Linked DNA regions of Macaca fascicularis. The protein of the gene in region 1 purifies or fractionates together with the protein of each later gene. This does not show direct contact. Links are inferred from orthologs where the notes say so. Each region holds a gene or a part of one and is shown on either strand. Other genes may lie near its edges.

What was found.
Region 2: the proteins of ENO1 (region 1) and FBXW7 purify together in Homo sapiens (affinity purification with western blotting; 3 studies listed by BioGRID, with this or other methods). This does not show direct contact. The link is inferred for Macaca fascicularis from reciprocal best matches to the Homo sapiens genes ENO1 and FBXW7.
Region 3: the proteins of ENO1 (region 1) and PARK7 fractionate together in Homo sapiens (co-fractionation; 3 studies listed by BioGRID). This does not show direct contact. The link is inferred for Macaca fascicularis from reciprocal best matches to the Homo sapiens genes ENO1 and PARK7.

Annotation. Positions count from the first base shown.
Region 1 is NC_088375.1:225,981,273-225,985,664, reverse strand, and holds the start of ENO1 (alpha-enolase), read right to left. Parts: upstream 2,932-4,392; 5' UTR 2,697-2,931; intron 2,340-2,696; exon of another isoform or gene 2,220-2,339; intron 1-2,219. UniProt on the Homo sapiens protein: Glycolytic enzyme the catalyzes the conversion of 2-phosphoglycerate to phosphoenolpyruvate. In addition to glycolysis, involved in various processes such as growth control, hypoxia tolerance and allergic responses.
Region 2 is NC_088379.1:157,243,183-157,246,828, forward strand, and holds part of FBXW7 (F-box/WD repeat-containing protein 7), read right to left. Parts: intron 2,708-3,646; coding exon 2,526-2,707; intron 669-2,525; coding exon 443-668; intron 1-442. UniProt on the Homo sapiens protein: Substrate recognition component of a SCF (SKP1-CUL1-F-box protein) E3 ubiquitin-protein ligase complex which mediates the ubiquitination and subsequent proteasomal degradation of target proteins.
Region 3 is NC_088375.1:226,919,758-226,923,872, forward strand, and holds the start of PARK7 (Parkinson disease protein 7), read right to left. Parts: upstream 2,816-4,115; 5' UTR 2,748-2,815; intron 1-2,747. UniProt on the Homo sapiens protein: Multifunctional protein with controversial molecular function which plays an important role in cell protection against oxidative stress and cell death acting as oxidative stress sensor and redox-sensitive chaperone and protease.

The DNA.
Region 1 (4,392 bases):
GTGTATGCCCAGGGAGAATCAAATCCAAATAGATGAATGTGTTGCTGGATGCAGAGCAGCCAAAGAGCTGTCTGAAACTGGCTATTGTCATGAGTGAACAATGAGGCCTGGCATGGGAATGGAAAGGAACCAAGAACAGACATGAAGGTCACAAGCAAAACCACCTAGGGCGAGGCCAAAAAGAGGGTGGGGGGATGAGGGGAAAATCTGGCTTGTAGCAGAATTAAAACAAAATAGCGAATTAAGTTTGGACATAATTCTTCTGATTAAATTTGAAGTAGCAGCACAATATTCACTTAGTAGGTATTTAATAATCAGAAATTCTGAGTTTGGAAGTCAGGAATAATAAAGTCCTTGGACCATGAGATCTTGGCTACCGCCACTTCCTGGGACTTTCCAATTTCACAGTACTCCGGACTTCAGTATTGTTATGTCATTAATGACAACATCTTTATTTTAATTACTTTTTTAAGAGATGGGGGTCTCACTATGTTGCCCAGGTTGGTGTCAAACTCCTGGGTTCAAGTGATCCTCCCCTGCCTTGGCCTCCCAAAGCATGCTAGGATGATTATAGGGGTGAGCCACCAGGAGCAGCCAATAAGACATCTAAGTTTGGGCAGATTTTTAACTTGCAAAATTATTTACTGAAGTCACTTCTGTGGCTTTGTTGTCTACGTAACAATGGAGTTTTATTCATTAGCCAAGAAAAAGGTACTTAGTTTTTATCTATTAGGTTCCAAAAAGGCAAATTTGTTTAAACATATTTAAGTTGGCCAGGCGCGGTGGCTCAAGCCTGTAATCCCAGCACTTTGGGAGGCCGAGACGGGCGGATCGCGAGGTCAGGAGATCGAGACCATCCTGGTTAACACGGTGAAACCCCGTCTCTACTAAAAAATACGAAAAACTAGCCGGGGGAGGCCAAGACGGGTGGATCACGAGGTCAGGAGATGGAGACCATCCTGGCTAACACGGTGAAACCCCGTCTCTACTAAAAAATACAAAAAACTAGCCGGGCGAAGTGGCGGGCGCCTGTAGTCCCAGCTACTCCGGAGGCTGAGGCAGGAGAATGGCGTGAACCCGGGAGGCGGAGCTTGCAGTGAGCTGAGATCCGGCCACTGCACTCCAGCCTGGGCGACAGAGCAAGAGCGAGACTCCGTTTCAAAAAAAAAAAAAAAAAAAAAAATCCTTCTTGGCCGGGTGCGGTGGCTCACGCCTGTAATCCCAGCACTTTGGGAGGCCGAAGCGGGCGGATCACCTGAGGTCGGGAGTTGAAGACCAGCCTGACCAACATGGTGAAACACCGCCTCTAATTAAAAAAAAAAAAAAATATATATACACACACACACACACACACACACACACACACACACAAAATTAGCCGGGCGTGGTGGCGTATGCCTGTAATCCCAGCTACTCGGGAGGCTGAGGTAGGCGAATCGCTTGAACCCAGGAGGCGGAGGTTGCAGTGAGCCGAGGAGATCAGGCCATTGCACTCCAGCCTGGGAAACAAGAGCAAAAAAAAAAAAAGGAAATCCTTCTCAGATCAGGGCCCGACGTCTGATGGCCAGCCGGGGAGCCGCTCTTGCCCAACTTGGGCGAGGTCGCCTGGAGGGCTTGCCAATGATCTAACGGCTCTGCGGCAGATTCCTCAAGAAGAGGTGCCTTCTCGAAATGAGTCACCGCTTACTGGGCCGAAGCGCGGGCCGCGAGTGCAGGCGAGAGGCGGGGGCTGCCGGTGGGGGAGGGGGTTGCAGCCTCGTGGGCATCTCCTCTCTCGCCGCCCTCCTCCATTTTAGGGAGGGCCTGGCCTCAGTGGGCACCACCGCTATGTCTGCGTCCATCCCAAAAACCTTACACTTGGCTACGATGGAAAAGCAACTTCCACTCCCAACTCCCGCTGTGCTAAGCGGCTCGCGTGTGCAGCTCCCGACCTTCCCCGACGGTGATCCTGCCCCGCAGTCTGTAATCACGTGTTGATCTGCACTTTCCCCTCCAAAGAAATCGGGACCCAGCACGTGCACCTCGCATTGTGCCCCCGTCCCGGGCCTCGGGGTGAGCGGGGGTGCCACTTCCCACCCAGGGAGTCGGCTCGCACGCGCCCCCGACCCCGCCACGCCGGGCCTGTTGGCGCGCAGCCTCCCTCTGAGGGGAAAGAGCCCCGCAAGCCCAGAAAAGCCCTGCGCCGCCTGCCCGTTGCTCAGCCCTTCCCTAATCGTTACCTAGCCGCTGGGTCTCGTGGCCTAGGAGAAGAAGCGGCGGGTGCAGCAGACACCGAGGTGAGTGTGAAGCCGGTGAGGTCTGCGAGGTCTATGCGCTCCGGCTCCCCACACCTACTGTCCGCGCCGCACTCGGACTTCCTGCCCAGCTAAGGCGGGCCCCACCCACTTCCCGCCTTCCAGACACGCCTCCTCAGGGCCGCCTCGCCATTGGTCGGGAAAGCCGTCACTCGTGCTCTCACCTCCCGGAAAGGGGTGAGACTGCGGCGGCTGCAGCCGGGAAAGGGGGGGTGACGACCCGCGGACGTGAGGCGGGCGGAGTTAGGGTGCCCCGACTACCCAGCGGCCCTGTGGTGGTGCGAGCGAAACTCTAGCCCCAGATAGGACCCGTAAGCCGAACTGAGGTGTGCGGAGCCGGGGCCCCGGGTGAGAGCCCGGGGCGGCGTGGCGGGCATGAGAGCTCGGGGCTCCGTCACGTACTGCGAGTCCCGCACGCACTCAGCGTCGCTCCGGGGCCGCGCGTCCGGCCCTCGACCTTGCTGACGACTTTGGCAGCCCGCGCCTGCCCCGGCCCTCCTGCCCCGCCCCTCTTGTCCTGCGCCGCGATCCGGGAGACCCCGTTGGCGTCGAGTCGTTGAGAGGCTACGCGCCTCGGCCCCACTCCGGCGTTGTGTCGCGGGCCGGGCCGCAGCGGTGCGCCTCCGGGGCCACGTGCGCCGCCTGCGCCTGCGCGCTGCCCCCCAGCCGCGCCCGTCCGGCCGGGCTCCGCCTGGCACCCGCCAAGGTGACCCTGTCCCTTTCTCCTTGCTGCGGTGAGAATCAGGCCGAAATAGCCAAAGGAAGGTTCACTTTCCTTTATTTCTACCTCATTTTTCTTGAGTGCCTCCTAGGTGTCTGGCGCGCCACCACCTGCTTCCCCAGTGTTAATTCATTCTCTAGCCCATGTTAATGTTGCATCTGAAATTTCACATCCCCCTCAGTCCCATCTAGGGAACTAGATCAAACCTACCTGGATTCTTGTGAACCATTCATGTAAATTATTTGGAACTGGAATTTCACATAGACCCGGGGAATTTCTCAAAGTTCAAGACGGGTCATATTCCATGGAATATGGAAGGAGTTGGTGGAGTGATTTCACCTTTTTGATCGAGAACTGATAGCCATTAAAACTCAGCTCCGCAATAGATCCCCCCGACTCCAAGGGAGGGCTGAAATGATCACTTCGTTTTCTGTTACGGTGACTTTTATATTTTTCAACATTATTGCTGGTCACTAAGAGAACTAAAACATCTCCTGATTTTCCTCATTTCCTTGCAAAGAGATGTTCAAATATGTACTTGAATTTAATTATTTCTTCTGGTCCGCTGCAAAAACTACTTTTCTTTCTTAACCCCTAGCGTTTTTGTCCTCTTAGCTACTGGCAGGTTTCCATGGCGTAGGTTAAAAGTGAAGGCCTACTAAGTACATAGTATTTGCTTTCCAGTGGGTAAGAAGCAAGAACTTTAGGATTAAATTCAGCAAAATGATAATAATAATAATAAAATTTTGCAAGCAGAGTTTGTGATTTCACCAGCAATACACTAACGTTTTTGGCTACTGAAAACCACTATCTCCAGCCCCATGACTCAGCAGCTAAATCAGCCAACATCTCCTGCTGTTAAGGACTCTAAGAAATCAGGCACTTGGTACTCTTACTTTCAGAGCAGTTCTAAGGCGTGGCCCTGAAAGGGCTCCAAACAATCTTATTTTACATTAAAATGGTTAGAGAGATAAAGATACTCTGCTGTGGCCAGAACCAGTAAATCTAGCAGGAAATGAGAGGCAGAACATGATCCCAGACTGCTGCTGTTGCAAGATTCTTGGAGGCTGCAGCACCACATTCTCAGCCGGCACTTCGACCTCACATTGTAGCTACAATGTTAATGATTACTGGAGATGGCCTGAAATCTTTTTCAAAATTCACAGGCTGCGAAATGCCTTCCCTGTTTCCATAGCTCCTTAGGCTTTGTTAGCAGGCTGTGGGGTTCACATTTGCTTGTAGTCAGCACAAGGGCATTGCATTTAGTTATTATTTCTCACTTGCTGTAAGCTTGTTGAGCAGGTTTATTGGTGGGGGGCAGGTGGGGAATAACTGTCCAAAGCTATCAGAATACCACACTTTGAAGCACTGTAGGTA
Region 2 (3,646 bases), on another chromosome or scaffold:
TCAGTGGGCCTGGGACAGTAGAGTGCTTTATGCAGAAAGGATCTATTTCCACTTTGAATGGGGATGGAATCACAATTACATGGTCCATCAACTTTCAGCTATCAAAGCAAAGGGTCAGCTTTGGGCCATATTAATCCTCTGCAAAGGAGTTTCTTAAAATCCAGGTTACTCTCCTATGAGACTATTTAACCATTAATTAATATAGCAAACCTTAGAGTCCCAAATTGTCAGGTTACAAGACAAATATTTGTATTTAGAGGAGAAATAGATCACAGAAAATTGAAAGCATCTAAATAATTTTGAAATTTATATAAAAACAGCAGAATAATCTGGTTAATCTTTTTTGGATTGTACTGGAGCAGCAATTTGACAGCGATTATCTGAGTAAAACAACCTTATGATTCATCAGGAGAGCATTTAAGGGACAGATAAGAGATCTTACCTGTAATGAATAGACTCTATTAGTATGCCCCTGCAACGTGTGTAGACAGGTTTCAGTCTCTGGATCCCACACCTTTACCATAAAATCATATGCTCCACTAACAACCCTCCTGCCATCATATTGAACACAGCGGACTGCTGCAACATGACCCATCAAAACATGTAAACACTGGCCTGTCTCAATATCCCAAACCCTAAGAGTGGCATCTCGGGAACCGCTAACAACTCTGCAGAGGGAAAAACAGAAAAACAAAACAAAACAAAAAAACCCATGTTTAGAATTTTTAATAATATGAGAAAACATGATAGATTTAGTCAAGGTTTTTTAGCTTTCTTTTTCTTACACAGGAACAACTCTTGTCAAAAGAAATCCTATGTAAAACCTTGGTATATAAACATACAATAAGGGAATGGGAAGTTGGGAAGCCTAGAATGCTTCATGCTTGGTTCCCTGACCTGTGGACCTTAGTTCCAGCACCTCGAGGTTCTGTGGGACTGAGTTTGAAAACCACTGCACTGTATTTTTTTTTAAAAGCAGCAGTAGCTGCCTCTAAATATATACAATAAGATTTTGATTTTAGAAATAAAATGTTAATGTGGGCATGTGTATAAAATGTTAATGGGAGAACTCTAGGTGGTAGTAGTTTAAAGAATTTAAATTTCTTCTTTATGTTCTTTGCCATTTTCCAAAATTTCAATTATGGATGCATATATTCCCTTGTGATTAGGTAAAAAATTCAATAAAGGTTATACAACAAAACAAGTCAGGATTTGGAATTTAAACAGCTGCAGATTTGTGTTTACACTATACATTCCAGTAAAAATTAACCAGTTTTAGACATGTCCTCAAACACAGGCTGCTTATGCTTTTAATGATTAGATTTATAAATATGCAATAGGCTATAAAAATATTGATATGGATCTTTAAAGATATGTACATCTTTAAAAACAATGGCTATCCCTTAAACATGTGGTTCAACATTAGTGCTACACTCTCCTGAAAACCAGAGCAATATGCAAATACTGTAATCACTTTTGGATTACAAAACAAAGCTGAAAACTCAGGTATCCTTATGTCATTCATTCTGAAGAGATAAAAGAAATACCACAGTTTCCATATTGGAAAAATTAGAAAATTAAAGGGTTGAGATTTAAGTCAGAACACAATGGAACACAATGAAAACATATTACAAATCTGGTGTGAAATCTGCTTAATGTAATGGTTCTTAATATAAGAAGATGCTATAGACAGAATTAAAGGTAAAGACTGCCATTGATTCACTGTAAGGACCTTTCAGAGAGACCTTTTTTGACAAATGAGGCAGAAATCACACTTGTTTAACAGGGGTATGATGAAGATAATAGAAAGATAGGATTTTAATAGGAGGGCTTTACAGGAGGAGATAAAAGTAATAGCAAAGGCACTGAGAAGAAAAAGTCAAGCAATCTAGTTTGGCAGACACCATTTTGAAAACTGGATTGAGGATTTCTTCCTTAATTCGTTAGTCAACAGTAGGCTCACAAAGACTTAAGAACTGGGCAGTGACACTATCATAATTATAAAAGGACTGTATGTCAGCATATAAAATGTAAGATGACCAAGTTAGAAAGTTGTGACACTAGTTCAGAATGAGAGAACAAATTACTCACAGGCCTCAGCCTTTGCCTAGACTTAAGAGATAGGGTGGGTGTAAGGTGGGTAGGTAATTTAAAAAGGCTCAGACGCTTGAAGCCTGAATTTGTCCCACTTGCAGAAGTAAGAATATCAAAAAAAGAGAGAGAAAAAATGATTTCTGCTTGAACATGATGAGTCATCAAAGATACAGAACAATAAAAAGGATTAGAGAGTAGAGAGCTTCAAAGAGGAAGCCGACAACACTAGCAAATGAAAAAGGAAACTTACAGACAATCCCCAATTTTAAGACAAAACACTATGGCTTTCCTAGAATAGAACCATCTGAAGTCTAATAATTAAATGTAATTTAAGAGCTCATTGTCACTATTTCAGTAACTCTATACAGAAAGGGCCCAAATTCACAAATAATAGAGGAAGAAGTCCCAACCACGATAAGATTTTCCCTTACCTTTTTTCATGAAGATGCATACAACGCACTGTGGAAGTATGCCCATATAAGGTGTGTATACATTCTCCGGTCTCTGCATTCCACACTTTGAGAGTCCGATCGGTAGATCCACTAATGATGATGTTGTCTCTCATTTGTGATGACCATACTCCACCTGTATGTCCCACTAATGTTCTCAGACACTGGAAAAACACTTAAGATGATTACTTTTGGGTAGAAAGGAAAAGTGATTTAAATAAAATTTAATAGCTCATTAAAATTTGGAGTAAAGTTATTTATTCGTTTGGCTCTTCAGAAAATATTATTTTACACATCCGTATAAAATGATCCCATCACTATTTATAGTTTTGTTTATTCAAAGCATTATAAATTTATATAAGCACAAGCAATTGAAGAACATGTAGAAAGCAAACATATGATATAAAATATGATATAATAAAAAGGAAACATGATATGAAAGCAATTATGATAGCTCTGGTCTCTTTGATGAAAAAATACTGAAATTGCAACTGGGTTTCTTCCATGGGAATAGATTCAATGAAAGTATGCCAACAGTATTGGGTGTGGCTACATACCACATTTCATCTGAATCTGCCCCAGGGCAGTAGTTAGGAGCCAGTGAAGCTACTTCTAGACAAGTAAAGACAGACATTAAGGCCCTGAAATAAATCCCAAACTAATATTACACTATGGAAATATAAAGCTGCTTTAAAAAATTTTAACATCTGACTTGGCGTATTTATAAGATACTTGCCAAGAAGCACCATGGTAAAAGACATTTTAAAAGACATGGATTTTTTTTTGTTTTCATACTCTCTTCTGTTATTTTTTAGGTGGCAATTACTTAATTCATGAAAATATTCTCTACTGGACAGATACAAATAAATATTTGCTAGAGAATCATTAAGGTATGATATAGTACACGGTCAAGCTGATTGCTTGGGCTACTTTTTTCTTCAAACTTACATTTAAATGCCTAGTCCACTCTCATCTCACAAGGGTTTGAGATAAGTATAAATTAACATGATTTATTAAGTTCTAAACAATAGGTAGGTTATCAACAAAGCAGTTCATAAGGAAAAATAAATACCCCTCAACCATACTTCTGAAAAACATTACAA
Region 3 (4,115 bases), about 940 kb from region 1:
GACATACACATCACCATCAAGACCTGAAATGGACCACAGTCAGCATTAATTCTTACCAAGTGAATACACTGCACGGTTTGAAAAAGTCAAGTATTACTTGTGGCAGATTGGATTATTTTTCAGAATTAGTCACTCCCCTTCCCCCTGCATGGGTGGAGTCTACGTCCTGTCCCTTGATTTTGGGTTTGGCCTTGTTTTGGTCCATGGAATGTGAACAGACACCTGAACAAAGCCTTGAAAAGTCTGCCCTGATGATTAGGTTGTGCTCTTATACTGTTGAATTGCTGTAGGAAGAGCTTTTCCCCCAGGCAAGTTGCTGCTGTTCCCTCAACCTGGGTTTCAGAATGAACATGTGGAACAGAGTGGCCCCAGCCAACCTGCACAGCTAACAACCTGAAGCAGAGTTACTACAACCCAGTGGCAAACTGTAGCAGCCAGGTTTTGCTATGGAGCAGTAGTTAACCCATGCAGCAGCAGCCCTCTAACTCAGTCCTTCCCCTTAGCCCTGCTCCCCAGAAGCAAGTATTTTCAACTGTTTCAATTATTTCTTCTGGTAGTATATCAGTCTTTTGAAACAGTATGCTAATATTTTATTTCTCATTTATCATCTTTAGACCTTATATATTGACTTCCTGGCAGGTCTTATAATTTTCCTTCCACAGATGTGAAGGTTGAGGTCCAGAAGGGTGAAATGACTGTGTAAGGTCCTGCAGTCTTGGTCAAATTCAGATTACTGATGCTAAATTTCACACTCTACCCACCATATACTGTCTACCGATTAAAAGTCAGTTACACTCAAGACACTCTACAGTTCATGCATATTTCCCATCACACATAAAACCAAAAAAAATTTTACCAAAAAATACTGCTGTACTACTGACAACGAAGACACTTCTGAGTTCAGTCTCCAATTTCCAGGCAGAACCGCCCCCATCCTATCCACTACCTTTTTTTTTTTTTTTTTTTTTTGAGACGGAGTCTGACTCTGTCGCCCAGGCTGGAGTGCAGTGGCGCGATCTCGGCTCACTGCAAGCTCCGCCTCCTGGGTTTACGTCATTCTCCTGCCTCAGCCTCCTGAGTAGCTGGGACTACAGGCGCCCTCCACCGCGCCCGGCTAATTTTTTGTATTTTTAGTAGAGACGGGGTTTCACCGTGGTCTCGATCTCCTGACCTTGTGATCCGCCCACCTCGGCCTCCCAAAGTGCTGGGATTACAGGCGTGAGCCACCGCGCCCGGCTCCACTACCTTTTTAAATCAACATTTGACAACTCTTTATGCATCGCGGGAGGTACAAAGGAAGAAACTGCCGGTTTTATTTCTTTTTTAGAGACCGGGCCTGGCTATGTTGCCCAGGTTGGCCTCCACCTCCTGGGCTTAAGGGATCCTCCTGCCTCAGTCTCCCAAGTAGCTGGAACTACAGGTGTAAGCAACTATGCCTGGCCAAAAACGCCGTTTTTTCAAGGAACGTAGCTTCTCGTAGCAGTTGCAACTTTTAATGATGAAATATTGCTCTGCCTGTGAAGGTCACAAGGCAATAACAGAGAAATGGCGTTGACAGTGTTAGTAATAGCCACCCACAGCCATCTGGTCATCGTTCCAAAAAAACAACTCCCCTCAGAATTATCCTGATCTTAGCGGCAAAAAAAAAAACAAAAAAAAAAAAACAAAAAAAAAAAACAAAAAAAAACAAAAAAAAACAAAACTGCTCCCAAGTTATTGTTTTTCCATGGGTCGCTCTTAAATTTGGCATCTCATTAAGTAAACACTCTAAATCATTCTTGGCCGGGGCGGTGGCTCACACCTGTCATCCCAGCACTTTGGGAGGCTGAGGCGGGTGGATCACCTGAGGTCAGGAGTTCCAGACCAGCCTCACCAACGTGGCGAAACCCTGTCTCTACTAAAAATACAAAAAAATTAGCCAGACGTGGCGGTGCACGCCTATCGTACTGGCTACTTGCGAGGCTGAGGCAGGAGAATTGCTTGAACCCGGAAAGTGGACGTAGCAGTGAGCCGAGATGGCGCCATTGCACCCCAGCGTGGGCAACAAGAGCAAAACTCCATCTTAAAATAACATAAAATAAAAATAAAAAATAAATCATTTTCTATATTTCATCTAGAGAGAGCGCATCATTCTAGCATTTTGCCTTTAGTTATTTATTGCGTCTTCCCCAGTCCTGTGAACGCCGGGAGAACCTTCTTGTCTTGGTGGTTGCTGCATCCCCAGCATCTGTCACAGCCCCTGGCACACAGCAGATGCTGACCAAGTATTATCCTGCTTTTACCCTCTATTATTTGACAGCCTTCTTTATTGCTATAAATTAATATTTTACATTTGCAGAACTCTACAGTTTACAACGTGATTTCAACTAATTTCTTATTCCTATTTTAATCTTATTTCTCACGTCAAATTCATCTCACCGAACTACAAAATGAAGCAGAGGAGGAATCTGAACTGTAGTTACTGGGCATAAAGAAGCCCTCTGGGGCACTGAATAAACGTAGCTGACATCATCCCATAAAGGCCGGGTTCAGGCACGCCCTACAGAGGTCCGGCAGAAACGGCGAATTTCCCCTCTGGAGCCCCCGAAAGGTTAGGTCGGTGAGACTGGAGAAGAGTGGGCGAGCCCTGACATTTGAGGCGGCGCTGGCGCAAGGGGGAAATTCTGACACCGAAGTCTGTGAGGGGCCCCGGGAACGGCTTTGCCTCTGCGCCCACCAGTGTGAAAAGCACCCCCACCGTGGCCTACCAGACACAACTCCCACAGGACGCGGGAAACCGACCGGCTGACCCGCATGTCGTAGGTCTACTTCCGGCGGCCGCAGCACGCGGCACCCGGGATTGGCCGAGCCGGTGGCAGTGGGCGGGACCGTCGCGTGTTCCCAGCCGCTATCGCGGTCGCGTCGGAGCTTGCAGGTCAGATCCGTCGTAAATGCGCCGGGTGCTGCTGGGCTTGGCCTGAGAGTAACAGCCCCTAAAGGTCACTTCCTTTAGAGCGTCGCGTGTGGGTCTCTGCGCCCTGGAGTCGCTTTGCCTCAGCTACCTCGCCGACTTCCGAGGGGTGGGTACAGCCTGCCGGATGCAAGGCGGGAGGTCGAGCCCTTTGGCACCTGCTGGGGCCAGATTCGTCCTGGTGACCGCAGCCCACAGGCTCAGCAAAGAACGACGACGATTTGCCTGTTCCCATCCCGCGAGCCTTGGTGTATTGGGGAATCAGATGCAGTCTCTGATGGTTTAACCACCTCGTTGGTGGCTCATTGGAAAATCTGCAAAGCCCAGTGTGGAAGCAAGGCTGTGGCTTGGACAGCGTTTTCTGTTTGTTTCTCTCCGGTTGTTTATGGAAAACACTTATTGCCATCCCTTCCATGGCATCTTATTTCTTTTATTTTCTTTCTGAGAAGTAGAGACGGGGTCTTGCTATGTTGCCGAGGCTGATATTGAACCCCTGGACTCAAGCGATCCTCCCGCCTTGGCCTCCCAAAGTTTTGGGATCACAGGCATGAGCCACCGCCCCCAGCGAGCATCTTATTTCTTGAAGTGAGAGTAAGATCCCATTACTTAGGGTTTCAGTCAGGGGTTATCAAAAAGCCTTTTAAGATAACTTACTTGCAAATGTGAATAGCAATGCCTGCCCAGAGGTGAGTGAGGACCTAGTGAGATCTTACATAAAACACCAAGCTCAAAAGAGTTGAAATGTTGAGTCCTGTAATATTTCCGGTTATAATTCTCTAATTCCGTTTCCATAATGCTTTCAAATTCCAATACTTTGGAAACATACAGTGATCAAGGAGTTATGCCAGTATTTCTCTCAACGGGCAAGGCAAAATCCATATTCCACCCAGCGGTAGACACTTGAATGTAGCAAAACTTTTCTGGCCAACTCCCTATCCTTTACTGTATCCTAGAGATCCCTTCCTTATCTTGAGGCCCACCTACTCTGGAGGTTGGTAAGCAGTGGCTACACCCAGGATGAGAACTATATTCTGGTGACCTTTCGTATGTCTGTAGTTCTGTGAATCTGCTGAATTTGGCAGTGACTCCTATGTAGGGGATTAAAAGTTTGAATCCTGCTACAATGTGCTTCAACAAATCCCTTCTTTCTTATCTACCACATTGG